Linked DNA regions of Coturnix japonica. The protein of the gene in region 5 interacts with the protein of the main gene of each other region in a pairwise test. Links are inferred from orthologs where the notes say so. Each region holds a gene or a part of one and is shown on either strand. Other genes may lie near its edges.

What was found.
Region 1: the proteins of AGTRAP (region 5) and PITPNC1 interact in binary tests that used the Homo sapiens proteins (3 or more experiments, as listed by UniProt). The two-hybrid records come from large-scale screens. The link is inferred for Coturnix japonica from reciprocal best matches to the Homo sapiens genes AGTRAP and PITPNC1.
Region 2: the proteins of AGTRAP (region 5) and PBX3 interact in a two-hybrid assay, tested with the Homo sapiens proteins (4 studies listed by BioGRID). The two-hybrid records come from large-scale screens. The link is inferred for Coturnix japonica from reciprocal best matches to the Homo sapiens genes AGTRAP and PBX3.
Region 3: the proteins of AGTRAP (region 5) and MIEF2 interact in binary tests that used the Homo sapiens proteins (3 or more experiments, as listed by UniProt). The two-hybrid records come from large-scale screens. The link is inferred for Coturnix japonica from reciprocal best matches to the Homo sapiens genes AGTRAP and MIEF2.
Region 4: the proteins of AGTRAP (region 5) and ACSF2 interact in binary tests that used the Homo sapiens proteins (3 or more experiments, as listed by UniProt). The two-hybrid records come from large-scale screens. The link is inferred for Coturnix japonica from reciprocal best matches to the Homo sapiens genes AGTRAP and ACSF2.
Region 6: the proteins of AGTRAP (region 5) and PTPN9 interact in binary tests that used the Homo sapiens proteins (3 or more experiments, as listed by UniProt). The two-hybrid records come from large-scale screens. The link is inferred for Coturnix japonica from reciprocal best matches to the Homo sapiens genes AGTRAP and PTPN9.
Region 7: the proteins of AGTRAP (region 5) and TBRG4 interact in binary tests that used the Homo sapiens proteins (3 or more experiments, as listed by UniProt). The two-hybrid records come from large-scale screens. The link is inferred for Coturnix japonica from reciprocal best matches to the Homo sapiens genes AGTRAP and TBRG4.

What each region holds. Positions count from the first base shown.
Region 1 is NC_029533.1:7,047,882-7,051,984, reverse strand, and holds the start of PITPNC1 (cytoplasmic phosphatidylinositol transfer protein 1), read right to left. Parts: upstream 2,801-4,103; 5' UTR 2,260-2,800; coding exon 2,212-2,259; intron 1,550-2,211; exon of another isoform or gene 1-1,549.
Region 2 is NC_029532.1:8,212,710-8,216,824, reverse strand, and holds the start of PBX3 (pre-B-cell leukemia transcription factor 3), read right to left. Parts: upstream 2,801-4,115; 5' UTR 1,939-2,800; coding exon 1,742-1,938; intron 1,705-1,741; exon of another isoform or gene 1,550-1,704; intron 1,523-1,549; exon of another isoform or gene 1,225-1,522; intron 1,096-1,224; coding exon 1,022-1,095; intron 1-1,021. UniProt on the Homo sapiens protein: Transcriptional activator that binds the sequence 5'-ATCAATCAA-3'.
Region 3 is NC_029529.1:5,099,115-5,103,232, reverse strand, and holds the start of MIEF2 (mitochondrial dynamics protein MID49), read right to left. Parts: upstream 2,801-4,118; 5' UTR 2,701-2,800; intron 2,267-2,700; 5' UTR 2,261-2,266; coding exon 2,114-2,260; intron 1,640-2,113; coding exon 1,450-1,639; intron 695-1,449; coding exon 1-694. Other genes in the region: FLII (protein flightless-1 homolog), read left to right, coding at 2,869-2,931, 3,430-3,540, 4,066-4,118. UniProt on the Homo sapiens protein: Mitochondrial outer membrane protein involved in the regulation of mitochondrial organization.
Region 4 is NC_029533.1:9,091,188-9,095,351, reverse strand, and holds the start of ACSF2 (medium-chain acyl-CoA ligase ACSF2, mitochondrial), read left to right. Parts: upstream 1-1,364; 5' UTR 1,365-1,429; coding exon 1,430-1,491; intron 1,492-4,164. UniProt on the Homo sapiens protein: Acyl-CoA synthases catalyze the initial reaction in fatty acid metabolism, by forming a thioester with CoA. Has some preference toward medium-chain substrates. Plays a role in adipocyte differentiation.
Region 5 is NC_029536.1:4,903,981-4,908,008, reverse strand, and holds the start of AGTRAP (type-1 angiotensin II receptor-associated protein), read left to right. Parts: upstream 1-1,228; 5' UTR 1,229-2,320; coding exon 2,321-2,431; intron 2,432-2,705; exon of another isoform or gene 2,706-2,905; intron 2,906-4,028. UniProt on the Homo sapiens protein: Appears to be a negative regulator of type-1 angiotensin II receptor-mediated signaling by regulating receptor internalization as well as mechanism of receptor desensitization such as phosphorylation.
Region 6 is NC_029525.1:1,988,089-1,992,169, reverse strand, and holds the start of PTPN9 (tyrosine-protein phosphatase non-receptor type 9), read left to right. Parts: upstream 1-1,281; 5' UTR 1,282-1,296; coding exon 1,297-1,455; intron 1,456-1,614; coding exon 1,615-1,758; intron 1,759-1,832; coding exon 1,833-1,922; intron 1,923-1,996; coding exon 1,997-2,121; intron 2,122-2,578; coding exon 2,579-2,684; intron 2,685-3,147; coding exon 3,148-3,258; intron 3,259-3,439; coding exon 3,440-3,768; intron 3,769-3,901; coding exon 3,902-3,995; intron 3,996-4,081. UniProt on the Homo sapiens protein: Protein-tyrosine phosphatase that could participate in the transfer of hydrophobic ligands or in functions of the Golgi apparatus.
Region 7 is NC_029517.1:3,562,580-3,566,738, forward strand, and holds the start of TBRG4 (FAST kinase domain-containing protein 4), read left to right. Parts: upstream 1-1,359; 5' UTR 1,360-1,431; intron 1,432-1,863; 5' UTR 1,864-1,904; coding exon 1,905-2,333; intron 2,334-2,740; coding exon 2,741-3,058; intron 3,059-3,431; exon of another isoform or gene 3,432-3,573; intron 3,574-3,835; coding exon 3,836-4,007; intron 4,008-4,159. UniProt on the Homo sapiens protein: Plays a role in processing of mitochondrial RNA precursors and in stabilization of a subset of mature mitochondrial RNA species, such as MT-CO1, MT-CO2, MT-CYB, MT-CO3, MT-ND3, MT-ND5 and MT-ATP8/6. May play a role in cell cycle progression.

The DNA.
Region 1 (4,103 bases), on a different chromosome or scaffold from region 5:
CGCAGCACCCCTCAGGCCACCATTTCCCAGTGCTAAAAGGATCTTCGGTGTAAATCACAATCCCCATTGAAGAACACTTTGCAGGTCTCTGCTTGTTTGCACTCCGACAGCACAGCTGCTCCTGCACGGCTCATTCAGGCAGCACTGCCCACAGAACTCACTGAGCTTGTCTTTACAGCATCCAATGGGCACGATTCCACCAACTTCAGCAGAGATAATCTTGCTCGAGATAAAGAACAAAGGAAAGAAATCCTGGTTTTGTTTGGTTGGTTTTCATTTGTTTAGATACTACCTATAAACACAGAGATCAGAACTAACCCATCCCATTCTAATGGGAAAATAAAAATAAAAAGACCATTACTGTAATTTGCATTCAGCTTCAAAATATGTGCATCCCAGCATCACGTCTTTATTAGCATTTTACAGCAGACAGCTCCTCTTCCAACATGATCCAGCAGAAATGGTTTCCTCCTCCTCCCCCTAAGGAATATCACTTTCCACATAAATCAACTGCACCGTGCTTCACCTCCCCCAAAAGAAGCTCACTAACATGCCAACCTGGCAGATCTCACACAAAGGCACCTCTATGGCACACAACCATATGATCCTTCCTATGAGGAATTACGCAATTATGACTTGCAATGAGAAAGAGTTGGACAATTTTTTAGCACCTTTGCTACTCTCGATGACTTGGTGCTCCTTTCACTTGCTACGGAACATGTTTTCATCAGATGATGCTTAATAAAGCCAACATAATGCACACCCTTATGATATTCACTCATATGATGTAACTATTTGTAAGAATGAACTAATAAATGAAAATGCAAGAGGAAAAATATTCATCAAGAAGCAGCCTCATTCATTAATTGCAACTGGGCTGAAGTTTGGCAACACGTCCCAAGCAATTACTGCAATAGATTTCATTTGCTTTACATATGACTGAAAAGAAATGGCTTTTTGTAATCTGCAAGGTCTCAGTTTTAACAAAAGGAGTGAATTTGCATGCACGCAATCCAGTAGTACCACAACTGAAGTACAGAGTGACTTCCAATTGGCAGCATTGCTGGGTTATTCAACCAACAGCAATGTTCTGACCTAACCTGCACAGTTCTTCCAGTAGTTTTGTCATTTTGTTTGGAAGTTCACATAATATTTCCTTTCACAAAATTATTTCAAGGCTAAGCTGGGAACCTGCAACAATATATATGTAACAGACTTTAAAAAACTGTCAATAAAAGCTCCCTTTAATGAATGAGCCTCAGAATTGAATGGGAACTACAGCCCAGTGTCCCAGCACCTCTGCAGGGGCTCTTGGAACAACCATGTTGGTGCTTAGGGAAGAGGAACAAAGCTGTTTCTGCCTCCTAGCTCAGAATACAAAAGCAGTTCAGTCAGCAGTGAACAGCACCTCATAGGAAATGCTTGATGGGCAAACAATGCCAAAAAGAAAAAGCATGAAAGTTTCAAAGTTTTGTCATAGTTTATTTGTACAACTAATAACGAAATTCATGCCATGTGTCAGACACACCCCATGTCCCTCACAAGGCCATCTCACCTGCAGTTCCTGGATTTAATACTTGCAAGATTCCACGTCAAAGAGACCCGAAGCAGCACGAGTCCCTTTGCAAACTGGGAATGTTCTTTAGAGCGAGAGGCTCCAGCACCTGCGGGCACAGCGTCCCCTGGCGGCTGTGGGCACCCTGCGGGCTGCCCCGCGTTATAAATCAAACGCAACGTTCCGAACGTGAATTCAGAACACGGAGATAAAGCAGTTTGTGACTCCCAACCGTGACCAAAACAAAAAGCAAAACATAATCCAAACTCAAAAAGTTTTGTCAACAGATGACACCCCACCTGCGCGACTGCCACCCGCAAGGTTATTTTAAGCAAAGGTGAGGATGTATTTAGCACGCAGACTTCGGATAAACCTCCCGCAGGTCGGGATGTGACCGCACAGCGCTCCCTCGAAACAGCTCACACGTTGTGTTGCTGGAGCTTTGCAGCTGATGGCCGGGCACTAACGCTCCTGACACGCTCCACTCAGCTCCGCTGCCGCAGGACCCTTCATCCCCTTCATCCCGCACCGCAGAGATGCCGCTCCGGGCAGCCCAAGTTTGTCACACAAATGAAGGACGAACGAACGCCCGCAGCGAAGCCGACCCCAACATCCCGGGTAGAGATAGAGCCAGGGATCAGCCGAGCGCAGCTTACCTCCTCCACGGTGAGCGGCATGCAGATCCGGTACTCCTTCATCAGCATATTCCCGTGTGTCGGTGCGGAGCTGCCGGCCGAGAAGCGCTCAGTGCCGCGCAGTGCGGGGCGGCCGCTCGGATCGATCGCCTTCGTCTCCCCGCGCAGCCCCGAGACCGTCCGGGCGGGGCGGACCCGGCGGAGATCGGCGGCACAACGGCTCCTTTCTTGCCGTTCTTCCTCGTTCAACCCGCGATCATGTGAATTTGGCACACGCACGGAGCTCTACAAAGTCTCAAACCCGAAGCGCCCGTCGCACGTTCAAAGACATCCGTCGGAAGTGCGCGAAAGCGGCGGCCTCTCTCTGCTATGTCAAGACATGCCCGGGGCGGCGAAAAGACCAACCGAGCCGAGCTCGCTGCTCTCAGCCCGGCCAAAGCGGGAGACACGCGACGCCGATTTCCGACACAAAGGCTTTTTTTTCTGCCGCTTCCTCCCCCGGCTGCCGAACGCGGCTCCCGCCTCCTCCCCGTCCGCCGCGGCTCCCGCTGGGTTCGGGGCAGCGCTCGGCGGCCGCGGGGCCCCGCGGTGCGGCTGGGGGCGGGCGGGAGGCGGCCGGCCTGGATGGAGCCGGCGGCCCCGGCGGGGGAGCGGCTGACATCACGGCGCGGCAGGAAGGAGGGAGGGCGGCAACAGCCGCCAATGGGGCGGATTTAAACGGCCCGACACGGGGGGTGTGATGGGACGGGGGGACCGCGGGTACATGGGGCTGTGCCGGCCGCACTACAACAGCACAACGAGAGCTTCAGCCTGTTAGAAAAGCAGCAGGGGAGATACAGCACAGGATGTGAAGGCCTCACCCATTTCCCTTCTGGTCAGCCCGTCGCTATCAGCAATGCCGAGTTGGCTGCGCAAATAAAAACTGCTTTGGGTTGTTTCAAACGCCACATGTAAAGTTCAGGGACAAAGTGCCTCCTTCCCAATCGAACAATGTCACCATGTCCACTGGGATTTTGTTGTTTCAGATACACTGTTACTAATTGACATCTCTCAACACACGGGCAGCCAACTCTGAAGCCATCTGAGAAACCCGAGTGCTTACATTACGGAGTTAATCATGCCAAGTGTACATTGCTGCTCCTATCAATGGAATGGCCATAAAGCAGCTCGCAGGGAAGCCCTGTGATTGCAGCACGAAACACAAAGCACTGCACAATGGCAGAAGGTGCACTTACATCTAATTTATTTGCAAAGATACGAGCGATTGAATGCCATATTTAGGGCAGTTGGACACGAATTGAGGTCTACCATGAAACGCATTTCATAACAAGAGCAGAACCCCCCCAGGTTTTCATTGGCTCTGAATGTAGATTTCAAGGCGATGTATATCATCTGAAGCCCACACAGGACACAGTGCCATCTCCTGGAGCTAACAATATAACTCTTCCACTCCGTTCCATTAATGGCACGTATTTCACACGCCCTGACTTCCCAGCAGAGCAGAACCGCCCACACAAAGCAATAGAAAACCCAGGAGCTGTGCTGCCAGCTGGGTTCTCACATGAGCTTTGAACAACGTGCTTTATGTTTTCTGCTTCCAATTTGACACCGTCCAATTGTAAACACCCAGTTTGTGCTCACAATCCATCACGTTGGTACTAATGAAACTTCTATGCAATAGCCCAAATGAGGCAGTACCCCTAATATCACCTATATATCACCTATATATCACCTATGTATCACCTATAGAGGAGATCCAAGTTCAGATCTAATACGTTGAACTCAATTTTAAGCGATTTATTAGTTAGATTAACTGGGGGGAACAGAATCACCTTGATTCCTACTGCAAGACACTGTGAACACTGAACTTTGCATGGTGCCTTGAAGCCAGGCTAAGTCAAATGGAAACCAAA
Region 2 (4,115 bases), on a different chromosome or scaffold from region 5:
ACAGGACCCAGGACCCACGGCCGCTCCGGCTCAGCACAAGCAGGGGCCGCTGCCGGCACCGCTGCACGGGCACAAAGTTCAGGGCAGGAAAACAAACAGGAGCCGCGGATGGAGGGACACCGCGCAGGCAGGGGGGAGGCAGAGAGGATCGCGCTCCTTATCTGAGGTAATGTCACGCAGTGTAACGTGGAATCAATCTTAATATTTGCAGCGCAGCCGATATCCAGCTCTCAGCCGTCAGCAGAGCTGAAGCGGGACCCGGCGGCACAGGAGCCCGTGCACAACACGCACCAACTGCACCGACAGCCGCGCACCGGGCAGCTCAGCTGGGCTCTGCTGCGTGCACGAGGCGGCTGCTAACCTCTATAACCCCAGATTTTCAGCTTGCAACTAAGAGGGCTGCAATGGAGCACCAAATACAGCTAAAAAGCAAACGAGTGCAGGTGTTCAGTTTTAAGGCCAGATTAGGAAAAAAGAAAAAAGAAAAAAAAAAGTCAAAAAAGTCCTTATTGTCACAATGAAGAGTACGATATTTTTCAAAATTGTCTTATTTTAAAAAAAGAAAAAATCTCTGTAAATTCAGCGATGTAAGAAATTTGCAAAAATCCCTTCAAACGCCTTCGAGACAAACGCGACATTCCTTCCCGTCTCATTAATGTTGCACGGAAAATAACGTTGTTGTGACCATCATTTCAGTGTTTCAAACCCCGCCGCCCGCAGCTGCCAACGCGGAGCCGGAGCCGGAGCCGGAGCCGCTCTGCACGCGCGGCCGCATCCGTCACTTCGGCGCTGCCCGTCCCTCTCCAGCGCTTCCCTCGCGGCGCTGCCGGCGCTGCACGCGGCGGATCCGGGCCCGGGCCGGGCGCTGCCGGGTGCCGCTGTGCGCCGGTACCGCGGGCAGGGCAGGGCAGGGCCGGGCGCATCCCGGAGGCGGCGGAGGGCCGCGGCCGAGCAGCGGGCGGCAGCGCCGAGGCGCGGCGGAGGAGGGCTCAAGATGGCTGCGGCGCGGGCCGGCCCTTACCTGTTTTCTCCTTGATCTCGCAGAGGACGCTGAAGAGCGCGGGCTTCATCCTGTGGCAGTTCAGCGCGTGCTTCCTGCAAGAGAGCACACACAGCGTTAGCGCCCGACGCGAACATGGCGCCCGCCGCGCCGCGCCGCCAGGCCGCCCGCAGAGCCCGGCATCGGGCCCCGAAACCGGCCCCGAAACCGGCCCCGGCCCGCACCAGGAGCGGGCCCGAGCGGGGCCGTTGCTCCGTGCCACACCGCGGCGGCGCCTCTCAGCGCCGGGCCGGGCCCGGGCCCCGCTGCGCGCGGCGTAAATCAGCGCCGTCCGGGGCTGATTTATTGCGGAGCGGCCCGGGCCGGGCCGCGCTTTGTTTCGCAGGGCGGTGATTTAGGACGGCCGCCGCTCTCTCCCCCCGCGGCGGTGTCTGCTCGGCGCCGCCATCCATCTCCCGCCGCGCCGGGCACGGGGCAGCGCCGCGGAAAGTTGCGGCCCGGCCCGGGGCCCGCGGACACACGGACACGGGACGGGGCCGGCTCGAGCACCTCCCGCTGCCGCGTTTATCGCTCGGCTCGAGGCGTTCAGCGGCGTTAAGCGGCGTTCAGCGGCGCTCCGGCCGCGCCCCGCTCGCCCGGCGGTTCCTCCGGCGCCAGAAGTTCTGTCCCGGCCGCGTTCCCGGGCCGGAGCTGCGCGCCCCACGCGCGCCGACAGACAAGGCGTAACGAGACGACACCAACTTTGCTTGCGCCTCGTCCAGGCTTTGGTCGGTGATGGTCATGATCTGGTGCAGGATGTCCCCGATGTCCTGCTTCCTGCCGTCGCCGTCGGCCCCGTCGTGTCCGTGTGGAGGCGGCAGGGCCATGCCCCCCTGCACCGAGTGCCCCGCCAGGTTGACGCCCGCCAGGGTCTGCAGCATGCGGGACTGCTCGTCCATGGCCCCGCGCCGCGGGGGCACTGAGCGCCCCGGCTCGGCCCCGCCGCTCCGCGACGGCGAGAGGCGAAAAAAAAAGGCAAAAACACCAAAAGGAAACGGCGGCCGAAGGAGCGGCGGTGCCGGGAGCGGCGGCGGCTGGAAACGCGCTGTTCTCCCCGGCGCGGTAAATCACTCTTCTTTAGTTACAGTCTTCTCCCGTCAGCACCATGTCTGTGCCGGGCCGCTGCCTGTCCCCGGAGCGATCTTCCTCCACAGCGTTTTATTATGAGCAGTAGTATGATTGTTATCCTCTGCTATTATTGTTTTTATTGTTGCTTTCTATGTCTTTTCCCCACTTTGTCCAAAGAATCTTCTATGCGAAAAGGCAACAAAATAAAAAAAAAAAAAAAAAGTAAAAAAAAAATAAAAAATGACAAAATGCCCAAAGTTGGATTATTCAGATCCCGCAGAAGTTGGGAGGGCAAAGAGCAAAAAGCACAACGAGCCGAGCGGCCCCGGACCGACACATCAAAACGGCACCAAAACACGAGCAAAATTAATGCCCTCCCCCCAAAAATCACCAACCATCCCGGGTGAGCGGGGGGACGGCGAGGAGCAAAGTTTGAACTCGCGCAAAGAAAAGAGCGGAAATCGAGGGGAAAGAACTGTAAAAAAATTAATTACACACTGTGTGCGAAGCAACGTGCAAAAATATCAGCCGGCGGGGATTTATGAGCGCGGCCGCCCGGTGACTGTGTGTGCTTTATGTTGTTTGATGGCCGCTCCGGTGAGGGATTGACAGCCTGCCAATGCCACTCACTCACCCCGCAGACGTGTCACCCTGTGAGCAGCGCCGGACGAGCCACAGGACGAGCCGATCCGCCCCGCCCCGCAGCGCGCCGCCCCTCCCGCCCCGCCCCGCCCCATCGGGCGTGTCCGCCGCCGCCCCGCCCCGCGCCGCGGGGTCGCCCTCCCGCCGGGCCCGGAGCCGCGGCGCTCCCCGGGGGGCGGGCTCCGCGCGGAGCGGCGGGACCGGCGGCCAATCGGCGCGGCCGCGGGCGGGCGCTCCGGCCAATCGGCGACAGAGGCGCGGCGCCGCGCCCGCCCGCCCCCGCGGAGCCCCCGCCCCCTCGGCCGAGAAACTTGCGATTGGGCCGTTCGAACGGTCACGTGGCCCCGACGAAAGCCGCTCCGGCCCCGCCCCTTCTGTTGCTATGGGAGCGCCCCGGCCTCCGCTACACGCCGGCACCGAGACGGGACCGCGGCAGCACCGCGCGGCGGGACGGGACGGGACGGGACGGGGCAGCGCCCAGAGCGTGGGCGGTTTCAGAGCGCTGAGCTTTGGGGACGGAGCTTCGGAGCTTTACGAAGTTGGGTTCCCTCAGCTCCATAGCAAACAGCGCGGGGCTGTCACAGATGTGACGTGTGTACAGAACAAACAGCGGCTCGTGCTCCCGCCGTGTTACCTGCACATCCCGCCGGCCCCGCGCCTCCCTCACCTGCCCGGCCATGCCTGGCTGTCGCTGCGCGGTGTGACGGCATTAACACAGTCTCGGTTCGGCGCTGTGAAGCCCCGGCACGAATTGGAGCCGCGCTCGGCGGGGACGCGCTCTGTGTGACGGACTGCTCCGGATAAAAGTCATGTCCAAACTAAAACCTCTCCCCAACATCTCCTGGATGTGCAGCTGATGGCACAGGATCAATGTGGCCAATAGAGCTCTCCATGTTCCTCCACAGCTCCCGCTGCTATCACAGCTGACACCACCACGTCTCCTCCCCTCAGCACCATCACTCCGACGTCCCCTGTTTGACGTGGGGTTCCTCTCCACGTCCCGTGGGGGATGTTCTGGCTATTTCGGGTTCAACACTTTTACTGTTCCTCCAGGTAGTTAGAACATTCTCTAACATCTTCCATCTTCATTACTGAGACATTTTCTGGTATGAATGATCGCGTTCTTAGTGTCATCCAGCTTTATTAAAACTGCTGCTCCAAAGAGCTGTTCTATTCTCATTATTTCGAATACTTTGCACGTCAGCTTACATTTGTCCACCAAGTGTGAGGCTCCACAGACACAGCCGTGCTGTAGTAGAGCAGCACAGCCCTTCAGGGGCGGTTCAGTCGCAGCTCCATCCCGCACACATCCCAGCACAGCACAGCACAGCACAGCACAGCACAGCACAGCACAGCAGTGTGCTCC
Region 3 (4,118 bases), on a different chromosome or scaffold from region 5:
TCCGCCCTGCCAAAGCTCTCGAGCCAGAGGTTTTCCACCAGTCCTTCAGGAGGAGCGGCCAGAAGAACTTTGTCCTCCATTTCCACCACTGGGAAGAGGCCGATGCTCAGCTCAACCTGATCGTGTTTGACATCCAGCCTCAGCTCCCGGGAGGCCACGAGCGGGCGGATGACCGTCCCCAGCAGGCTGCCGATGGCCGGCCAGTTGATGGAGGCCACCAACATCTTGTGTAGGGTCTCGTTGAGCACATTGGAGGAGAGGTACTGGCCCACGAGAAACCTGTCCCAGGGGCTGCGCCCACGAGGGAAATACTCCAAGTCAGTCCTTTTGATCATCCAGTACTGGGGGTTTCTCACAACGGTGTCCTCGCCTGGGATGAGGCTCCAGAGAGTGGCATCCAGGACTACTGGCAGCATGAAGTGGATGTGGTCAGCAGCAAGAGCTCCGAGGCCATCGAGCAGGGGACCGCTGAGGAAGAGGCTGCCAAAGGGCAGCTCTGGGCACTTGTTCTGTAAGAAGCTCTGAAGCTCAGCACAAATGCTCCGGGCCAGCTGATGGGCAACTGCCACTTGCTCCTCAGACATAGGGAGGTGGATGCTGTAGTGTGACAGCAGTTTCTCCTGCAGTGTGAGACAGCAGGGAGTGCTGGACTCGACTTGAGGAAGCTCTGGGGGCGCTGGGCAGACCCTGGGTTCTGCAATAAGGGGATGGGGCAAAGGCAAGGAAAAAGTCATGGATCAGCCAACACATCTTCTCATGCCACAGCCATAAAGAAAGAAAGCATGTGCTGAAGTCCCAGCTCTCAGCCTTTGGCCACAAAGCTGATGTTGCCAGGAGAGGCACAGAATAACAGCACTTTCCAGCCAACACAGGGCTTAATCCAAACCCCAAACCCAACAGCACCCAGCTAGAGGTGGCTAAGCCCAGCTAAACAGCAGCAGCCAGACAAAGCACAAACCACCAGGCTCCTTCACAAGGCTCAGCCCCACTGCTCACCCCTACCCTAACAGCTCCTTGATTGCTGAGTCCTGAATCAATCCCACTCTGGGTGCAGTGCCTCAGGACCTGCCCAGCACCAGGCTGGGCTGCTTTCCTACTCAGAAAACACCGCCTTTGCAGCCAGCTGGACAAGCCAGCCTTTGTCTGCAGCAGTTCACAGGCACATCTTCCTCCCTAGACAGAGCTGACCCAAAAACCAAGCGCTGTTCAACAGGAAACAAAGGCAAGGCAGCCTCTACCAACCAACTGGCTGAGTTACCAGACCAACCAACCAGCAGTTATCAGAGGAGCTGCTACTGAGGCACTGCCAAAAAAGGGGCCGCAGCTTGGGAGCCTCCCAAGGGGGAAGACACAATCGGGTCAGCTTTCCGGTCACAGAGCTAAAAATAAAGCCCAGCTCCCATGCACAGGCACAGCCAGCCAAGGTGATCTTCACCCACACGCACCCACCATAAGCATCAGCTGGTGCTGGTGGTGGAGCCGGGGAGAGCAGGGGTTTGCTCAGGTCTTCCCTTCTCTGCTTCTTGGGAGGTTTTGGTGTTGCCTTGATCAGAGCCAGGTCCTGCCAGCTCTCCTCCAGGCTCTTCTGCTCAGCTTTAGGATCATCTTCCTCTCGAGGGCTCGTGGCTCGATCTATCAGCTGGTGGGAGAGACACATGGAGGGGATGTGTGTGTGGTCCACAAAACCCTCACCTCACCCAGAGAACAAGCAGTGGGGGCTCCCCCATCCCAACTGCACTGAGAGCTACAGGCCCCAAATAGCCTTGTTCACATACGGGGATGCTCTACCTGCTGCTGCTCATGCAAACACAGAGAGATGCTACAGATGGCAGAGGGGGAGGAGACCCGAGATCAGCAGCCCCCTTTACAGAAGGCTGCTATTGCTGGGAGAGCAAAGAGACCCAGGGAGGATCCACAGGGAAAACCTGCACAGACACGTTGTTCAATCAGCAGCACATCCCACCCCAAAGCAGGGAGGGGACGGCACAGACAGGGTAACAGTCACACACAGCTCTTCTATGGCTCTGGGAGTCTCATAGATGCACGCAGGTTCCCGAAGACAACGAGGCACGTCTCTGGGACGCAAAGTGGCACATCACCCCCCCAGCCTCACCCGTTTGACGGCCAACGTGGCGATGGCGAGCACGGCCGCGCCGCTGACGCCCAGCACCAGCCTGGCGTTGGCCAGCAGCAGGTCCAGGACGCTGCCCAGCCCGCTGTCATCCCGCCGCTTGCCCCGCTGCTGCGAGAACTCAGCCATGGTCACCTGCGGGAAGGAGGAGGAAGGTGCGGTGCGATCTGACAGCGGGGAGCCGGCTCCGTAATGACACCCGGCGTGTAACGGCCATGGGGGGAAGGCGGGGAGCCCGGCGGGACGCGAGCTGCGGGGCAGCCGCCACCACGGCCGACCTTCAGGCCCACGGATCCCGCTGCTGCCGGCTGCGGTGGTGGCGCCGGGCCGGACCAAGGGTCACCCCATAAAGATCCGGCCGCCAACAGATGGGGACGGGACGAGGGGGCTGCAATGGCACCACGGAAGGGGCCGGCACAAAATCAGCCCCCTTCACCGAGCTGCCAAGGGCAAACAAAGGTAGGACAGCCAACCCCACTGACTGACGGTACTACCCGCGGTTATTTCCTTCTCCGAACCCCAACTCCGAGCCCATCTCACCCCCCACCCCATAGCCCCCCCCCACTTACCCCGCAGCTCCCAGCGGGGCGGACCAGCAGCCCGTGCTGGCGCGCCGGCGCGCCCGCAATTCGCAGCGCAGCCAATGAACGCAGCGCTCCTTGGCCCCGCCTCCAATCAGCGTCAGGGCGGGGCGGGGTGTTGGGGCGGTGGCGCGTCCCGCCGGGTTCCCCGCTGTCATGGCGGCCACCGGGGTGCTGCCCTTCGTCCGCGGCGTCGACCTGAGCGGTAACGACTTCAAGGTGCGGGGGCGGCACCTGCTGTAGGGGCGGTACCGGGTGTAGGGCGGTACCCGGTATGGGGCGGTACCCGGTGTGGGGCCGGGCGGGGTGGGGGGAGAGCCGGCGGAAGTGCCATGGATGGGAGGGACTGTCAGGCCTGTCCGCTCCCCGCCAGGCCCGGCCATCCCCGAGGTCCCCGCTTAGGGCCGGTCAGTCCCGGCCCTTGTTGTGACCCTGGCAGGCCCTGCTGTGTGAGCGGGGCTTTGGAAGGCCGGGAGGTGTCAGCCCACAGTCCTCATCCTGTAGGGCTGGGTGACCTCAGTCTGCAGATCCCAGTCCCATAAGGCTCCCGTCCTTAAATCCCATCCTTAAATCTCGTTCTCATGGGGCTGGGTGATCCCAGTCCCCAGCTCCATAATACTGGGTGATCTGTCCCTCAGCAGCCCCACAGCACCAGCCCTGTCTCTCCATTGTCACCCCACGGGTCATACAGTTTCTCTTACCTTCATGCCCACACAGGGTGGCTACTTCCCAGAGCATGTGAAGGCCATGACCAGCCTGCGCTGGCTGAAGCTGAACCACACAGGGCTCTGCTACCTGCCCGAGGAGCTGGCTGCCCTGCAGAAGCTGGTGAGCAAACAGGGGATGGGGCACTTGGGGGGGCTGCGCAGCCAAGAACCTGCTGCCTGCCTGCCTCGTGTGCCAGCGTCTAATAATAGGGGCTGAGTGAGGAAGTGTGGTTGAAATTGGATGCAGGAGTTGTTAGGAAAGGGGCTGAGGCTGATGTGTACTGGGTTTCACCTTGTTTTCTTAGAAAACCAGACCAGAAACCACACTCTCTTCCTCTGCCTGTTAATAGAAGGGAAGGGTGAAAGTTTATGGGGAGAATTAAAGGTTTGGGCTCTCTTAGCAAAAGCGAAAAAAGAAAAACAAGCAGCAGCCAGCAGCTGCCTGGAATTATTCCCTGGCAGCTCGAGTTCTGTGCGTAGCTGTTGGTGGAGCCCATGGCTGAGCTTTGCTCTGGTGGTTCCTACAGCATATTATGGACATGCTGGAGCCCCCCAGCCAGTTTGGGACCCCAACAGCCCAATATGGGTCAGGGCTGAGCTCTGCTCCCCTCACTACTCACTGGGGCTTTGTCCTGATTCCCCACAGGAGCACCTGTCCGTCAGCCACAACAGCCTTACCACGCTTCATGGCGAGCTGTC
Region 4 (4,164 bases), on a different chromosome or scaffold from region 5:
GTTCTTGTCCCGGGTGACCCACGGCCAGAAAAGTCGGTGGAAGAGTTTTTCCTGAGATAGAACCAAATCAGAGCTCCCCAGTAACGGGATTATGGTGAGGACAAGCTTTGAGTTTCTGAGCCCAAACACGCATTGTGACATATGTGCACTTACTTGTTCAGAGGGCAGATCTGTGCTGGGGACAGGAGGTCTTACACCTCTTTGTTGTTTGTTTGTTTTTATCACGGACACTGATTTTTGTTTTCCTCTGGTTGCAATCAGCATTTCATGATGAGGTTGTGCTGTGAGCATATTTTATAGCTTTGATTTCTGAGATTCTCTGCAGCCAGTGTTGATGCCCTTGTTCATAAGATCTGTTGTGCATCTCCCATTGCTGAACTCTGGTGCCCATCTGGGCAGAGGGGTTGCAAAATGAACTGCTAGTGATCGTCCTGCAGGTCAGTGGCTGGGTGAGAATCAGGCCACCTCTCAGCCCACTGCTGGTGGCACCGCCTGGTTAATGGCCGTGTGATGTTTGAGACACAGGTTACCTTCTGGTACCACATTTATACCCCGGCTCCCAGCAGTGCCCAGAGTCCATCAGTCATTTGCTACAAGGAATGCCATGCACGCCAGCCCTTCTGCGCCTGTGTCAGTGCTGCCGTGTGCTGCAGGGCTCCTCTGGGTGCTGCCTCCCCCTTCCCTTGGCGTGCCCAGCTCTGCATCTCCTCACTGCTCTGTTTGCATGTGGTGGGGCACAGACAGCCAGGGAGTGCTGAAAGCTGTTAGTGAAGTGGTAACTGTGATAACTCATGTGAATAAGGCTTGAAATCAATTAATGACTCATAGAGCTCTGACAGATGCAGAAAACCAGAAGCAAGCAGCGCTGGTTGCCTTGTCAATTTCAGTCCTTGTAGCAAAGTCCGTGTCAGCCAAGGCACTGGGTTTGCTTGTAGGGTTCAGGGCGGCTGCAGCGTAGTGCTTGAGGCTGGGATTGAGCAGAGGGACATTGCTGCAGGGCAGGGAGCTGGGAAGGGAAGCGAGCAGGGCGGCGGGGTTCAGTGCTGTCAGCAGCGAGCCAGTGGCCGGGAAGGAAAGGAGGGATCCCGGGAAGCCACGGCCGTGCCCTGGGACACGCAGCATCCCCGTCCCCCATTGCTCTAATGGGATACCTCACGCAGAGAAGATTCTTTGCAACCTGCTCTACCTGGCAGTGGTGGGGGGCGGTGAGTAGGGGTCCCAGCTCCCACCCCCACTCCTTCCTCCGGGGCCGGGGTGTTGCGGGGCGAGGCCGGCCAAGCCAAGCCCTGCCCTCCCCGGGGCCAGGCGAGGCCAAACCGGGGCTGAGGAGGCCGGGCCGAACCGTGCCACGCACCGCCCCCACCGGAGCCGCGTACGGAGCGGAGCGGGAAGGTGGCCCGGCCCCCCCGGTTCTGCCATCACCGCACACATGGCTCCAGCCGCGCTGCTCGCAGCTCTGCCCCGCCGCGGGCTGCTCCTCCTGCGTGCGCGGTACGGACGGGGCTGGGAGGTGGGGGGGAGGGGGGGAGCTACCGGGGGCCGGGTGCAAGGTGAGGGGGATGGAGGGGACGGGGGGACTGCGGGGCCGTGCAGAGGCTGTTGGGCAGGGCGGTGCGGGGCCGGCGGGGCCGTGGCTCCGAGCTCTGCAGCTGGTCGGCTCTTGCTTTTGTTTAACGCTGCCTTTTGAAACGAGCTCCTGGGAAAAACGGCGACGGGAAAGCAATTGGCTTCGGAGATGCTTGGAAGGATTAGTTGAAATTCTGCCTCTAATCCTACCCGGAGGCGCGACTTCTAAGAAGTAGCAGGGTTCGCATGCAGGTAATTCTTTTCAGCTGCGCTGTGATGGGGAGGTACCGTCTCAACATCTGTTCTAAAGAGGATCAGGAGGGCAGCAGCACAGAACGCTGATTGCAGGTTGGACTCCAGCCCAGCGTTCCGGGTGAAGCTGGGTGGCAGGAACCGTGACTCGCACCGAGTATTGAGAATAAACTTTCTAGTAACGTGAAGACGCCTGAAATTCTGCTCTTAGCACTGAGCGGTACTTGTGCTTTGGGCAGAACCAGCGCAGGAGGGAAAGGCTCACACGGGACAGCACAGCCGGTCTGCTGGAATTGAAACCCGAGCACTCTGTGAACACTCACCATCCCTCTGACTAAAGTCAACAAACACAAAGTAATCAAACGGTGATTAACCTCGCAGCCAACTGCGCTGCGTTAAAGAGCAAAGAAGAGGTGAAGGCAGCGCCGAGCAGTGCCGGCTCACCACTCTCCTTGCAGTTGCTTTATACAAAAGACCCAGAACTCGTTGCTCTGGGAAGGTGGCCGTGTCAGATCTGCACGAATGAGGAGCTGCACGTGGCGGCCCGGAGCTTCCCCAGGTCCGAGCTCTGCAGTTGGGTCGGTTCCGATCCACGTGCGCGGTGCAGTGAGCTCACACCGCCCTGAGTGGTGATTCCTGCAGAGATGGGAAAAGATGAGAAATGAATCTGGTTATCTTATGTCAGCGGCTGTAAAACCTTGGCTAGGGTTAATCACACGCAGCTCCTGGGGCTGATCCAGACTGCTTTATAAGGTTTGATGGGTGCCTGCTGGGTGGGAGCGCTTTCTGGGCCGGCTGTGATCCGTCTGCTGGGTTGGGATCTGTGTGTTAAGGAGTGAGGATGAGGCCCCGGAGCTTTTCTGTGCGGGGGAATTTCTGGGACTCGCATGAAGAGCTTTTCAGCTCCTTCTCATATTGAAAACCAGCCCTCATACATGGGCTGTGGGGATCTGACCCCTGTGAGGTTCCCCCCCCCCCTCAGGGCCCCCACAGGCCTGGGAGGAATCGGGCAGTTCTGTTCTGCCCGCTGTGGGTGTCTCACCTTCACTGGCAGCAGTGCAGGGCTGTGCATGCAGCTCAGGAGGGCAGGAAATCACATGGATCACACTGTATCAGCTGGAGGGTCTGGATTTCAATTGAACATTCTCCACTTTTCTTTCTGCTTTTTGTTTTGTCTGCCCCGTGCTGAGGGAACATGTGAGACCAAATGTGTTTTTCTACCCGGTTGGTAACGGTTCCTTTGGGTTGTGTCCCAGGAGGGTCGCGGTCTATGAAAGCCTTGAGCAGCTCCCAGCACAGCACAGCTCAGAGCCTGCTGCGCTCCAGGTGACCCCGGTGAAAGTGCTCTTGCACAAGCAGGTCGGCTTTGCTCGCTGACCCCCAGGCTCACCTGACCCCGGCTGACCGAGGGAGCTCACTTGTTTCTCTGCGCAGCTGGTGGGGAAATGTGGAGCGTCACCATAGAGATGAGCTCTGCTTCCACTGGAACTGGAGGTGCCCTGGCTATAGGGAGGTGTGAGCATTGCAGTCTCCAGTGATACCCTGCAGTTTGTGGTTTCCTGCTCTGACAGTGCGAGGTATGGAAGGGGCTTTGCTAAAACTGCTCCACAGCAACATGCTGACAGCTCACCATTTCCAGAGTGAATGGCAGGAACTGCAGTGCTTTTTATTGCCTCCCTAAAAACACTCATCTGTGGATTAGGGAGAGCTTTTTCAGCTCTTATCAAAGGCTTTTCTTCTGTGGAGCTTGCTTTCATCTCCTGGCCTTTATATGTGCCCAGCCCAGGAGTTCTGAAACAAAAGACAATTCTCTTTTCTGCTTGTTTGATTATATCCTCCCTCCTTCTGGGGCAGCCCTCAGAGCCGCAGTGTGAACTGCTGTACTAAGCTGTGGGAAGTGGCTGCCTGAACAGAGCGGAGCTGTGCTACTATTGCTAACAAGGAGTGTGGAAAGGGTCAGGCTGTGCTGCTCTGCTCTCAGCTCAGCTGCACCCAAGGGCAACAGCTCGACTTGTGCCAGCCAGGAGGCAGAACCCCACTTGGCAGTGGAAGTAACCCCATGTTAATCTTGTTTCTCATGGGCAGGAAAGCAAGTTCTAGGTTGCAGTTAGCACAAAGGCTTTGCAGAGCATTGATCCCATAACAAATGGGCAAAATTTGATCTCAGGGTGATCTGTTGTTTTGTTTTTTTTTTCCTCTGCCCCACATCTGTGGACAAAGGGCAGTGCTGCAGAGCCTGAAAGTGCTGCTTAACCCTGTCTGTCCTGGGAATATCCCAGAGTAGAGGAAAGTAGGTGAGAAAAATAAGGAGAGGACCCAGCAGGTGCAGAGTGCTGGTAGGGCTGC
Region 5 (4,028 bases):
TCCAAGGCCTGTTTGTGGCTTGGTTGAGAACGTGTGAGTTCAGATCCCCTACTGCAGACAACCTATACATAACCTTGCACTGCACTGCTTGAACTGGATGTGGGACTGAAGGGTGACTCACACATTTCCACATCCAGCTTCTGCAATGAACTTCTGGCTCCTCTCTCATTCTTAGAGGCCCTGTCTTAAAAGTAAATTACAATAAAGAAACCAACCCAGCAAAATGTCATAATCTGTCTGTGAAATGTCATGCTCTGCAAATGGGTCATGCATATACTGGGCAGGGAGGGTTGGAGAGGGTCACCCTTACTTCTTGGTTCTGCTATCCTATTGCTGTATGTGGGAAGAAGATGGCTGTTATAAACAGGGCAGGAAAGGAATTCATAGCTGTACACTGTGGGTTGGGGTTGGTCGTTTAGTTAACAACTTCCCCAGCTCTAAAATGGGAAAAGCCTTCAGAACAAGAGGCGAAGGAGTCCCAATTCTGAATCATAGGCTCCTTAAGGATGGGGAAGAGCTCTGTGATCAAGTCCAACCCAACCCACCCCACTATGCCCACATCCCTCAGTGCCACATCTCCACACTGAACACCTCCATGGATGGTGACCCCATTGCTCCCTGGGCAGCTGCTCCTTCTTTATTGTCCCTAATACCCAACCTGCACCTCCCCTGCTGTGTCTTAAGGCCATACTGTTGCTGTTACAAAGTTCAAGGGCTGAGCCCACCTTGCCACAACCCCCTTTCAGGAGCTGTGAGAGCAATGAGGTCTCTCCCCCAGCCTGACCCATCTCCTTCCCTCAGCTGTTCCCCATAACACTGCGCTCCCACACACAGCTCCATTCCCATCCCTGGACACACTCCATATCCTCCATATCTTCCTCGTCTAACACCTCACAGCCTGACAGCTGAGACAAAAACCCCAACGAGGTTCCCCTCCATGTTGGGATCCACCCCCGGGGCAGGGCGCTGAGGGAGGCGGTGTCCCGGCCGCTCCCGCCTTCCTTCCCTCCTTTGGGCGGCCCCGGGGAGCAGCCCCACGGTGGGAGTCACGGGGCGGGCGGGCCGCTGCCATGGAGCTGCCTGCCGTCAGCCTCAAGGTACGGGGGGGGATATGGGGCAGAGCCTATGTGGGGCTGAGCTGTTGTGGGGCGAGGTGGGTCGGCTGGGAGAAAAGAGTACGGGGGTGGGCGTTGAGGCTGGTATGGTGCCTTGTGTGGAGGCGTGGGGGTGTTTGTGGAGGGAGAAGTGGCTGTTTCTGCCTTTTGTGGAGGGGTTTTTAGTAGGGGTTGTCGCCCAGGTGGGCCCCCCCTCGGCCTTCTACCTCCCAATTCCCCCCTCCATCCCCCAACTGTGATCCTTAATGGGTTTCTGAGGAGGCGAAGTTGGTGCTGGTCAGGGAACTCACCTCAGGAAGGTGACGGCTTTGTGGGCTTGTATAGACCGACAGAAACTGCTGTTCTGTGTTTTAACTTAATTTCTAGGGGGGGAGGGCGTGGAATGAGGGAGGCTGTAAACTTTTGTGCGATGTTTAGTAGAGAAACGGGAAATAAAAGGACTTCGGAAGTTACCCGTTAACTTCAGGAGGAAGCAGCTCCTCACACAGAGGCTGAAATCGGCCCCCTTTGCTCTTCATGTTGCTCGTGAGACTGAAGCCTTTTAGACTCTTTCCCCTGTTTTTCCTCCATTAGTTATACTTTCAGAGCCTTCTAGGGTGATGTGCTGCTTGTTTCCCAGCTTCCCTGTTGGGGTTTTGGGTGCGTTGCTGAAAGCTTTGCAGTTTGGTTGCAGGAGCTAGAAGAAAAGAGATGCTTCATGAATGAACGAGTCACCATGACAACATAAGTAAAATGTTGCATTTCCTCCCTGCTTTTTAGCAAGCATTCTTAAATCTCCTCCTGGGTAAGAGTGATTTTGACCTGGCCAAAGTGTTCTCAGCATTGGGAAGTACCTTTTGTAAAGTACTGGTTAGGGTGGTGTGGTGCTGAAATGGGTTACCCAGAGTAGTTATGGATGCCCCATCCTTGGAGTCATGTTGGATGGGCCCTGAGTTAGTGATTAGCAGCCCTGCCCATGGCAGGGCATTGGATCCAAAAGATCTTTCAGGTTCTCTCCAACCTAAGCCATGCTGCGTTCTGGGATTCAAGGGCTGTAACACAGTGAGTTAATAATTGTCCTGCATCTTTGTGCTGTCTCTGAGTCGTGGCCTACTGCTCTGAAACACAACCCAAAGGTTGGCAAGGTTCTCATTCAGAGAGGGATTGGGAATAACACACTACTTCTATGCATTGGCGTTAACTGGTTACAGTTTCTCTGTGATCAGATGGATAAACCTAATGACAGAAGAAGAAAACTTCCAAAGACCTGCGTGAATGCAGCATTTGTGCCAGATTGTAGCAAAGTCTCAGCCTTGAGGTCCCTCTTTAACCCGCAGGTAGGACTGTAGCATTAATATGGCAGGCCTTGACCTGCAGTAGATGAAGAATTCACTCATGGAGCAGCATCTACTGGCTCAGCTCTGGTAGTAATGCTCAGCAAAGTGTGGAAAGCAGCATCACCTTATTATTGCAGTGAGTGTTTGATGGCTAGGATTGTTGCAATAGCTATTCTGAATCTTGAAATATCAAGTTTGCTTGAGCTTGGAAAAGGCCCTACAATGAATATGCCTGAAATCAGATGTTTTGTTCTCGGGTGTTTTTATGTGCTAGCTCTGGAATCCTAGCATCATTTTGATTGGAAGAGACCTACGTATGTCACCTAGCCCAGCCTCCTGCTCAAAGCAAAGCTAACTTGAAAAGTAGATCAAGTAGATCAACTCAAAGAGTTGGCAACCACTTTGGAGATTATCTAGTGCTGCTCCCCTGCTAAAGCAAGCACCCCAAAGGAGGCTGCAGAGGAAAGCATCCAGGTGGGTTCTGAATACCTCCAGGCAGGCAGAATGAGTTCCTGTACCAAAGAACTCTTCAAAAAAGCAATGTATGCTCTTAGGTATGGATATATCCCCCTGAACAGATGGGAATGAATTCTTCTGTCTCACCAGGAGGCTGCCTGCAAATTATCTCACGTAATGACTGCAGCTTTAAATAATGTTTTTCATTAACACTCCGTTTTCTGTGTGAAAGCATACCGAGACCATCAGCCAATTCCATAGTGCCCTGAAGAGCTGTCAGATAACTCAGACTAATAGCTCGGAAGGAAATGCTTTGTTTTTCTTCCAGCAGCCCCCTGGATTACCAGCCCTTGCTTACCTGACGTTATGCTGGTGATGGAGCCAGCTTCTTAATTTAATAACTGCAATATTGATCTAGACAGCTTAATATATATATATATATAATAAAACCCACTCTGCGTAATTATATTAACTGCTGAGCCTTGAGGGGTCTTGTGAGTGCATAACGTGCAATTAAATACTACCTAATTAAGAATTTCCCTGATGTTGTGATCGTCTCTTGGGTGAATGCTATTTGCATGTCTCCGTTCTTATCCAAGAACATCTTGTATTTTCCTGATTAGCAGTTTCTGCCTGGTCTCTGCGGTGCAATCTGGGAGGAGGGGGAAGCAGCGGGTGGTGCTGGAGCATTTTGTAGGCTTTCATGAGCAATTAAAAAAAATAGTCATTATTAAAAACCTGTTTGAGCAGCGTTTGATGTTCAGGCGGTCTGTGCTGAATGCTCAGCAGATGTGATAGGGTGCTGCAGTGCAACCAGGGCTTTGCCTTATGATAAGATATCTATGTTGTGATATCTTGGCTGGACAGTCCAAGCCATTGCAGCTGCATCGCTCCTTCTGGTTTCACTCACGTCACAGCTTCATGGGTCATTAACTTTCCTGAAGCCACGAGTTCTGTGTGAAGTTAGAGCAGGTGTAGACATTTTGAGTCAATAAATGTGACAGTATTTGGGCACTAGTGTTGTCCCTGGAAGTGAAAAGAGTGGTGTAGCATGGCAGGATTGGGTCTTTAGGTTCCTAGAAGATGACTTCAGGTCTGTTAATATTGGAGCGAGGCAGGTTGGAAGGGGGTAAAGGGGAAT
Region 6 (4,081 bases), on a different chromosome or scaffold from region 5:
GGGCTCCGCTCGATGGCCGACAGCACGCTGATGGTTCCCGTTCCTAAAGCAGCCCCCGGGCCGGAGAGAAAGAAGGGCGAAGAGGAAGCGTGCGTTAGGAGCGGGGCTGTGGGGTGGAGGTCAGCCCCACAACGCTGCCACCGCGCTCGGGGCAGGGGCCGAGCCGCTTCTCTCTGCCCTTTCTTCCATTTTCTGCGAGTTAGGTGCAAACCCTCCGGCTGCGGGCGAGCTGCCAACGCGCTGCTCCTCGGCCGAACAAAATGTCCCCGGCTGCGGAGCGCGGACCCCCGGCCCTGGGACGGCCCAACCCTCCCCCCAACCGGGGCGGTGCCACCCATCCCGAGCGGGTCCGGCTGGTCGCTACCCGGGTGGCAGAGCCCGGGACCGGCAGCCCCCGCCCCGCCGCGCTTCCTGCCCGCCCCTCCCTCCGCCGTCGGGCCGGGCGCAGGGGAGGGGGCTGCGGGCGCTTCCTGCCACCGCCCCCGCGGGGCAGCGCCGGGCGGAGCGGAGCGGGGCGGGGAGCGGCGGCGGCCCAACCCCCAGCCGAGCGGCGCTTCCCGGGGCGAGCGGAACTTCCCGGCGCTTTGCGATCCTTACGGCGTTTTGTTGGTTTTTTTTTTTTTCCCTTTTCTTCCTATTTTTTTGTTTTCATTTGAATATTTTCATTTGCGTTTCGTTCTCGTTTTCTTTCTTTCTTTCTCTTTTTTCAATCTCATTTTCTCCTTTCCTTTCTTATTCCGTTTCCATTCCTCTCTCCATCTATATCCCATCTCCTCCATTCCCTTCCCATCCTCTCTTCCCTCCCCGCTCACGGTCGCGGACACCCCGGGGCGGAGCCGCCGCCGCCGTCTCCGAGCGGCCGCCAGGGAGGGGCGGGTGCCCGCAGTGCCGCCGCTCCGGGGATGGGCTCCGCCGCTTAGCACGGCCCGCACGGCCCGGCCGCAGCATGGCCGCGGAGCTGAGCGCCGAGGAGGAGCAGGTACGTGCCGGCCGAGCTGCGAGCACCGGGCGGCGGACGGCTTTGCTCCCCCCTGCATCCACGCAGCCTCCGTCTGCCCCTTATCCGCTCCATCCGCACGCCCCCCCACCCATCCCCGTTCCTTTCCGTTACGCATCCCCTCTGCTTCATCATCTCCATCCCCGGCTCTCCCGCAGGCTCTACCCCGCCGCCGTAACGGAGCCGCCGCCCCCCTTGGTGCCCGTGGGGCTGTGCGGGGCTGTGTGCACGCTCTTCCCACGCCCCGCACCTCCCGTGACGTCCCGGCTTCCTCCCCGGCCGTGCGTCACCGCGGGAGGATGTTGCTGGGCTCGGGAGCGGGGCTGGCAGCCCAGCATCGCCCTGGGATGTGCGGGTGGGAAGGGGGGCTGTCCCACAGCTCGGGGATCTGGGACGCAGCAGTGACGCAGGGCTTTGCTTCCTTTCCTCTGCCCGCTTTATCTCTAGAAGGTGGGCAGGTACATCACATTTCGGGGCGCATCTGGTGCTGGCCCATCTGACATCGCTTTGGGTCGAGCCAAGTGCCAGCCTTGTTCTGCCACCTAGTTCTTCCCCCCCATTAAATTGCCTTTGGGGAGTCCGGGGGATGCTAATAGGAATGTCCTTGTGTCCTGCAGGCCACCAAGCAGTTCCTGGAAGAGATCAACAAGTGGACGGGCCAGTACAATGTGTCCCCGCTCTCCTGGAACGTGGCCGTCAAGTTCCTCATGGCCCGCAAGTTCGACGTCCTACGGGCCATTGAGCTCTTCCACTCCTACCGCGTATGTCAAGGGGGTTTGTGGGCTCACACATCCCTGTGTGTCATACTGGGGGTCACACTGTGTTCCCACTGCAGGAGACGCGGCTCAAGGAGGGCATCGTGAAGCTGAAGCCTCACGAAGAGCCGCTGCGTTCAGAGCTGCTCAGTGGGAAGTTCACCATCCTGGTAGGTGCATGGGGTGGCAGTGCACAGTGTGGTGCTGCCTACAGTCATGCCATGACCTTGCTTTCCTCCTGCAGAGCGTTCGGGACCCTTCAGGGGCATCCATTGCCCTGTTCACGGCCAAGCTGCACCACCCCAGCCGCAGTGTGCAGCATGTGGTGCTCCAGGCGCTCTTCTACCTGCTGGACAGGGCCGTGGAGAGGTGAGCTCTGTGTTCTGCCACTGCCTTGTGTTCTGGATGCTGCTTTGTTGTTGCTCGCAGCCCAAGCTCTGTTAGTTCAAGTAGCCTATAAGCAGCAGCTCGCCCTATGTTTGCATGCCAAGGATTGATGACAGCCCGTTTAGAAGCCTTCCAGGCATGGCAAAAATCAGTGGCATCCTTAAGGCGTCCGCATGTGCCTCGTGTTACTGTGCCGGGGATCTCCGGCCCTTGGAAAGCCCCGGCCGTGGGAGCCCTGCTGGAACACTGAGCCCAGTCACCCCGTTCCTATGGCTGGGCTTTGTCTGTGGGCTGACACCATGTACCTGGGATGGGCTCAGGGTGGGGGAGAGGCAGCTTCGGGCTCTTCATCTCACTGGGAACACAGAGGAGACTCTTCTGGGGTCACTGAGGGTGCGTCCATGATCTTGGAGTGGTGCTGCTTTTTCCCCCTGCCCAGTTTCGAGACACAGAGGAATGGGCTGGTGTTCATCTACGACATGGCGGGCTCGCAATACACCAACTTCGAGCTGGACCTCAGCAAAAAGATCCTCAACCTGCTGAAGGTAACGACGGCAGGGATGGGATGGGGCAGGATGATGGGATGGGGGGGGATGCAGGAGGTTGGGTGCCATCCACAGCCCCTCGGGGGGAGGCTCAGGCACTGGGAGGGGATCAGCTGTCCCCACGCGCTGGATTCCTCACACAGCTGCTGGCAGCTCTTTCATGAAAACAGATGCAAATTATTTTTTAATGGTGCTGGCATTTCGTGCCTCCTCCCTTCTCCGGAAAAATAGCTCCCAGTAAATAGCAGCTGGGGCTCAAAGCCCTGCTCCCGCCCTCACCGCTGCCTCATCAAGCCCAGCCCTCTGCTGGCCACATGGAAATCGATGTGGACTGGAGCATGGACTGTGCTGGGAGCTGCTTTGCTCCAGGACCCTGCGGTTGTCATTGCTGTGGGGCCACGCTGGGTGTGGGTTAGTCCTGCAGCGTGGAGCCGAGCCGTCCCTGAGCCCTCGCTGTCCACAGGGCGCTTTCCCAGCGAGGCTGAAGAAGGTGTTCATCGTGGGAGCACCCATGTGGTTCCGCGTGCCCTACTCCATCATCAGCCTGCTGCTGAAGGAGAAGCTGCGTGAGAGGGTGAGTGTGGGGGCTGCAGGCTCCTGGGGGCTGGCAGCTTTAAAAGGGAAAGAAAACGAGCCACGTGGGAGAAGATAAACTTGGTTGCTGCTTGGAACAATATGCCCGAAGATCTCTGCTGCTTGAGCTGAGGAGAGCCCTCCTGCCGGCTGAGCTGAGTGCCCATGCCTGTCCTCTGCAGGTGCAGATGGTGAAGATGTCGGAGCTGAAGGAGCATTTGCCCCGCGAGTGCCTTCCCGAGACCCTCGGCGGCTGCCTCAAGCTGGACCCGCTCAGCTGGAACTGCCGCTTCCTACCGCAGCAGAACGGGCACCCCGACCCCTTGGATGAGCTTATCCTGGTGCCACTGGTGACCCCTCGTGACAACGGCTCGCTCCACGTGCCCGGCCCCAAGGCTCTCACCCCGCAGGAGCTGCTGGAGCACGTCAGCCGCAAGCAGAAGCGCGGTATCTATGAGGAGTATGAGGACATCCGGCGCCGGAGCCCGGCCGGGACCTTCGTCTGCTCCTTGTGAGTTGAATGGGGTGGGAGGGGCAGCGGGAAACTGGTGCACGCTGCTCCCGGGACTGCAGCCAGGTGATGGCAGCAGAGCCCCGGGCATTGCCTTGGGATGCCCTGCTGCCCTGCCCTGTCTCTGCCCCAGGGCGCCCTACAACCAGGAGAAGAACCGTTATGGGGACGTGCCCTGCTTGGACCAGACCCGCGTGAAGCTGGCCAGGCCCTATAGCCGCCCTGAGGTGAGCCCCCATTGCATTCCACCAGCCCATCCCTGACGCCCAGTATCTGGGTTCTCACTCGCTTTGCTTGCTTGGAGCTGAGCCCA
Region 7 (4,159 bases), on a different chromosome or scaffold from region 5:
CTCAGGGGGAGCAGCCACAACGCGGCCGTTATCTGTGGGGGGAGAGCTGTGGTGGGGACGTGGCTGTGCCCATGGGATGTGGGGCCTCATCCCACATTGGGCTGTATCTACACCCCCAGCTGTGCTGCAGGATATGGAGTCGGGGGCTGGAGGGCTGGATTGGTGAGGAGCAGCTGAGGGCAGTGGGTTTGTTCAGCATTGAGACTGAAGGGACGCCTCATAGCAGCCTGGGGTCATTTCCAAGCTCAACATCACCGTGTTCTCACAAGAAAGGTGGCTGGAAGCCAGTCATGGCCCAACACGGGGAATTCTCTTCAATGTTTTATTGAGAGATGGTTCAGCAAAGGGTCAGGTTCCCACAGAGGTTGCAGCACGGTCTCTTGCTTCACAGCTGCTATTCATAGCAAGAATGAGCACTTACAGCTGCTACCTGTATCAGGAATGAGCCCTTACAAAGATCACAAATCACACAATCACTAAGGCTGTAAAAGACCCCCGAAACCCCCAGCTCCAACCCCAGCCCATCCCACCATGCCCACAGCACTCAGTGCCACATCCCCATGGTTCTGAACACCTCCAGGGTTAGTGACCCCACCACCTCCCTGGGCAGCTGTGCCAATGCATCACAGCTCTGAGTTGTGCCCTATATCCGACCTGAACCTCCCCTGGCACAACCTAAGGCCATTCCCTCTCATCCTATCACTGTTACCTGTGAATAGAAGCCTACCCCCCCACCACAGCTCGGTCTCCTTTCAGGGAGCACTAAGGCCTCCCCTCAATGCTTGGAAGGGCTCTTACAGCCCACCTATGTTCCACCATCCTTCTGGATGTTGTGTTGATGAATATGATTTAGCTGGGAAGTATTGGTAACGGTTGGACTAGATGATCTTCTAGGTCTTTTCCAACCTTGATAATTCTGTGATTTCTATGGTCACACATCACCTCCTACAGCCCCATAACCACATCCAGCTCAGTGATGAGGGCTCCAAGGCTGTGACACCGCCCTGATGCCGAACCTCAATGTCTTCTCTTTACATTTACAGCTGTTCCCTTTGTCATTCCTCAGCTGAACAAACAGCCCTGGGGTGGGACGTACCCAGAACATCAATCTCCTTTTATTTGCCTTCAGCCAAGTGTTGCCAAAGCACCGCCCCAGCCTCTGTTTGCTTCCCCCCGTTCCCACAGCCGGGCCCGGGGCTGTGACCTGCCTAAATCTGATAATCCTGGACCCGTCCCCTCTATACAACCCCCCTCACAAAATGGCGGCTCCCCCTCAGAGCCGAACCGGAAGCGTTTCCTCTTTCCCGCTCGATTCTCTCAAGGAACTCAGCCAATAGGAAGCAGCTGTGCGTGATGATGTCATCAAGCTGCGCCGGCGCTCATGCGCACTTCGTCTCATTACCGGGCCAGCGTGCGGTGGGGCCGGGTGAGGTCAGAGTGGACGGAACCGGTTCGGTGACACGGGGGGTTCGGTATCGGGGTTCGGGCTCTATACAGGCCCACAATGGGGTTTACAAAGGGTTGAGGCCTCGGGAGCCGCTGAGGGTCCGGTCCAGCCCGTCGGGCCGGGAGCTGGGGCCGGTTCGGCCCACGGGGCGGGTAGGCCCAGGGTTCGTGTTGTAGTGGGTTTCTATGGGGTGTTATTCAGTGTTCAGCGATAGGAGCCGCCGCGCTGAGTTATAATGGCTGGACATTGTGACCTTGGGGCCATCTCCTAATTAAAGTGATATGTGGGGCTGCCCCTTTCAGTTCTGTTCTATGGGAGCGCTCATAGTGCTTTTGTCATTCCCTTTTAAACCTGTTTGCTCTCCTCTTTCCCCCCCTGATATTCCCGTTCTTAAAGCCTTTCTTTTCCTCCTCCAGCATCCCCCAAGATGCGGCTTTGAACCCTTTAAATCCCCACCATGGCAGCCCGGCTGGTGCAGCGCTGCTGCTGGAGGCACCTCACCACCTTCACTTGTGCTCCTGCTGCCGCCCCGGCCGCTCTATTGCTGCCTAATGGGAAGGTGCCAGCAGCCAGAGCTCTGCCACATACACCTCTAACCTCCATCCACACCTCCGTCCCCGTCACCTGGAGTGCGGACAGATTCTCTGTCAAAGAACAGGTGGAAGAAAACAGTAACTCGGAGCACAGAGCCATGCTGAACCTCATCGAGGCAGCCGTGAGTCCTCAGGAGCTCTTCCAGCTGGGTGAACTTCACTCTCTTAATAGCAACCAAGCTTCGCTGGTGGTTACACGACTTTCCAGGCTTGCGGTGGAAAAGAAGCTGGAAACGAGGGACATTGTGCGAGATGAACGATTTCAGCAGCTTATTGAGATCGTGGATTCTCAGGTGAGCTCCTTCCTTGTGCTGGAGGTTGGAGAACAAATGGGTGTGGGACAGCAGCGAGTTGCAGCCTTTCTCTTTCCCTTGTGTATTGTCATAGCTGCCACCTAGAGATGTATCAGCTTCAGGTCGCACACAAGTAAAGGGTGCAGGTGTTTGTGGTTCAGTAGAGTGCACCCCAGAGCAAGGAGAGTGACCCCAGTGCTGGAATTGGGGCAGTCAGGGCAAGTTAAAGAGTCTGTTTGCTGGATGCCACCTGGTCCATCCTGCCCTGAGCATCGTTGGCTGTGATTCTGCCTCTTGTTTCACTGCTCACTGAGCTCATATTCCAGCCACACCACAAAGGGAATTTAGATACACACACCTCCAGACAAGGGTAAATATCTACTTAACTATTTTCACTTGCCTTTCAGATATCTCAGGTGTGGAATAACACCTTGGTGGGCCTCCTGAAGAGCCTGTACTCGCTGGGGATGGAGAGCAGCAGCAGGGAGATGCAGTCTGTGGAGCACGAGGTGCTGTGGAGGTTGCGGCGTCTCACCTTCCGTCAGCTCGCCTCCTTGGCTGAGTTCTTAGCTGTCAGACAGGACAAGGAGAGCAAACTGCTCAATGAGATCGTCAAGAAGCTGGAGCTGAGATGGACGGAGCTGGAGGGCACCCGAACCGTGGTGATGCTGATTGCTAAGGTTGGCCATATCTCATCAGTGCTGATGGACCGGTTAGAGGACAAGGTATGGGCTTGGGTGCTCCGTTCCCTTCGGTTGGGACATCACCTGAAGGAACATTTCCCTCTCACACATGGGGAGCTCACACATGGGCTGCGTTGGTCTGAGCTGCTCAGAGATGCACTGGGCTGATGTGCTTTGCCTCGCAGCTAGAATTACCTTAGCTCTGTGGTAGAATTACCTTAGCTCAGCTCCAGGCGGTAACTTGCAGCGGCAGCATAACAGCACTGCCAAAAGCATTGTCCTCTGGCTCTCTGTGAAAGTCAAGCTGTGAGCAAGGAGTCTGCAGGGAGGTCTGTTCTCCAGCAGGTCCCTCTTTTTAACACTACCAGGAGCAGGGAAATGTCTGTTGGGTTGAAACTGCCATAAGAACCATGACTGCAGCTGAGTCAAATTCGGTCCTTATCCAGCCCAGCGCTGGGGACCGGCCAAACAGCTGCCACAGCAACAATCCCTGCAGCTCATGGGCCCCACTGTTGTTCTTCCTCAACCCTGGGGATAAAATATTGCTGCAGACACTGAATGTGGTGTTGTCAGCTTATGCAGAGCTGGAACTACAGCTGTTGTCAAATGGAAACAGGAGTTCCAATGGGAAGCAGGGTTGTGATTCAGCAGCCTTTCCTGCATCAGTTGTTACATGACAGTGTTAAGGTGTATGGAAACCCTGCAGTCCTTGGAGGGGCTCAGCCAGCGATGTCCTGGGGGATGGCACATCCTGATCTATACAGAGTGTCTGTATTTTCCTTTGTGCCTTTATGTCTTCAATGTTTTTCATGTTACCAGGCTCTGGAGCTTGCTGAGCAGTTCAGCCCTGAGGACATAAGGAAAATCACTCTGGCTCTGGCATATCAGAACCGGCGCAGCGTCCCTCTGCTCCGTGCCATGTCGTACCACCTGATTCAGAAGCACTCAGAGCTCAGCCTTAGTGTCCTGATGGACCTGATTTTTGCCTATGGTAAGCAGCTTGGGTGTATCGTGACCCTTTATTACTGTGCCTGCATAGGTCAGAGAGCCCTCTGTGTGGCAGCACTGTACTTAGTGTGGGGCTGTTCCTCGCTGCTCTTACCCCTGAGAGCAACCCCTGTTATCATCCTTGGTGCTTTGATT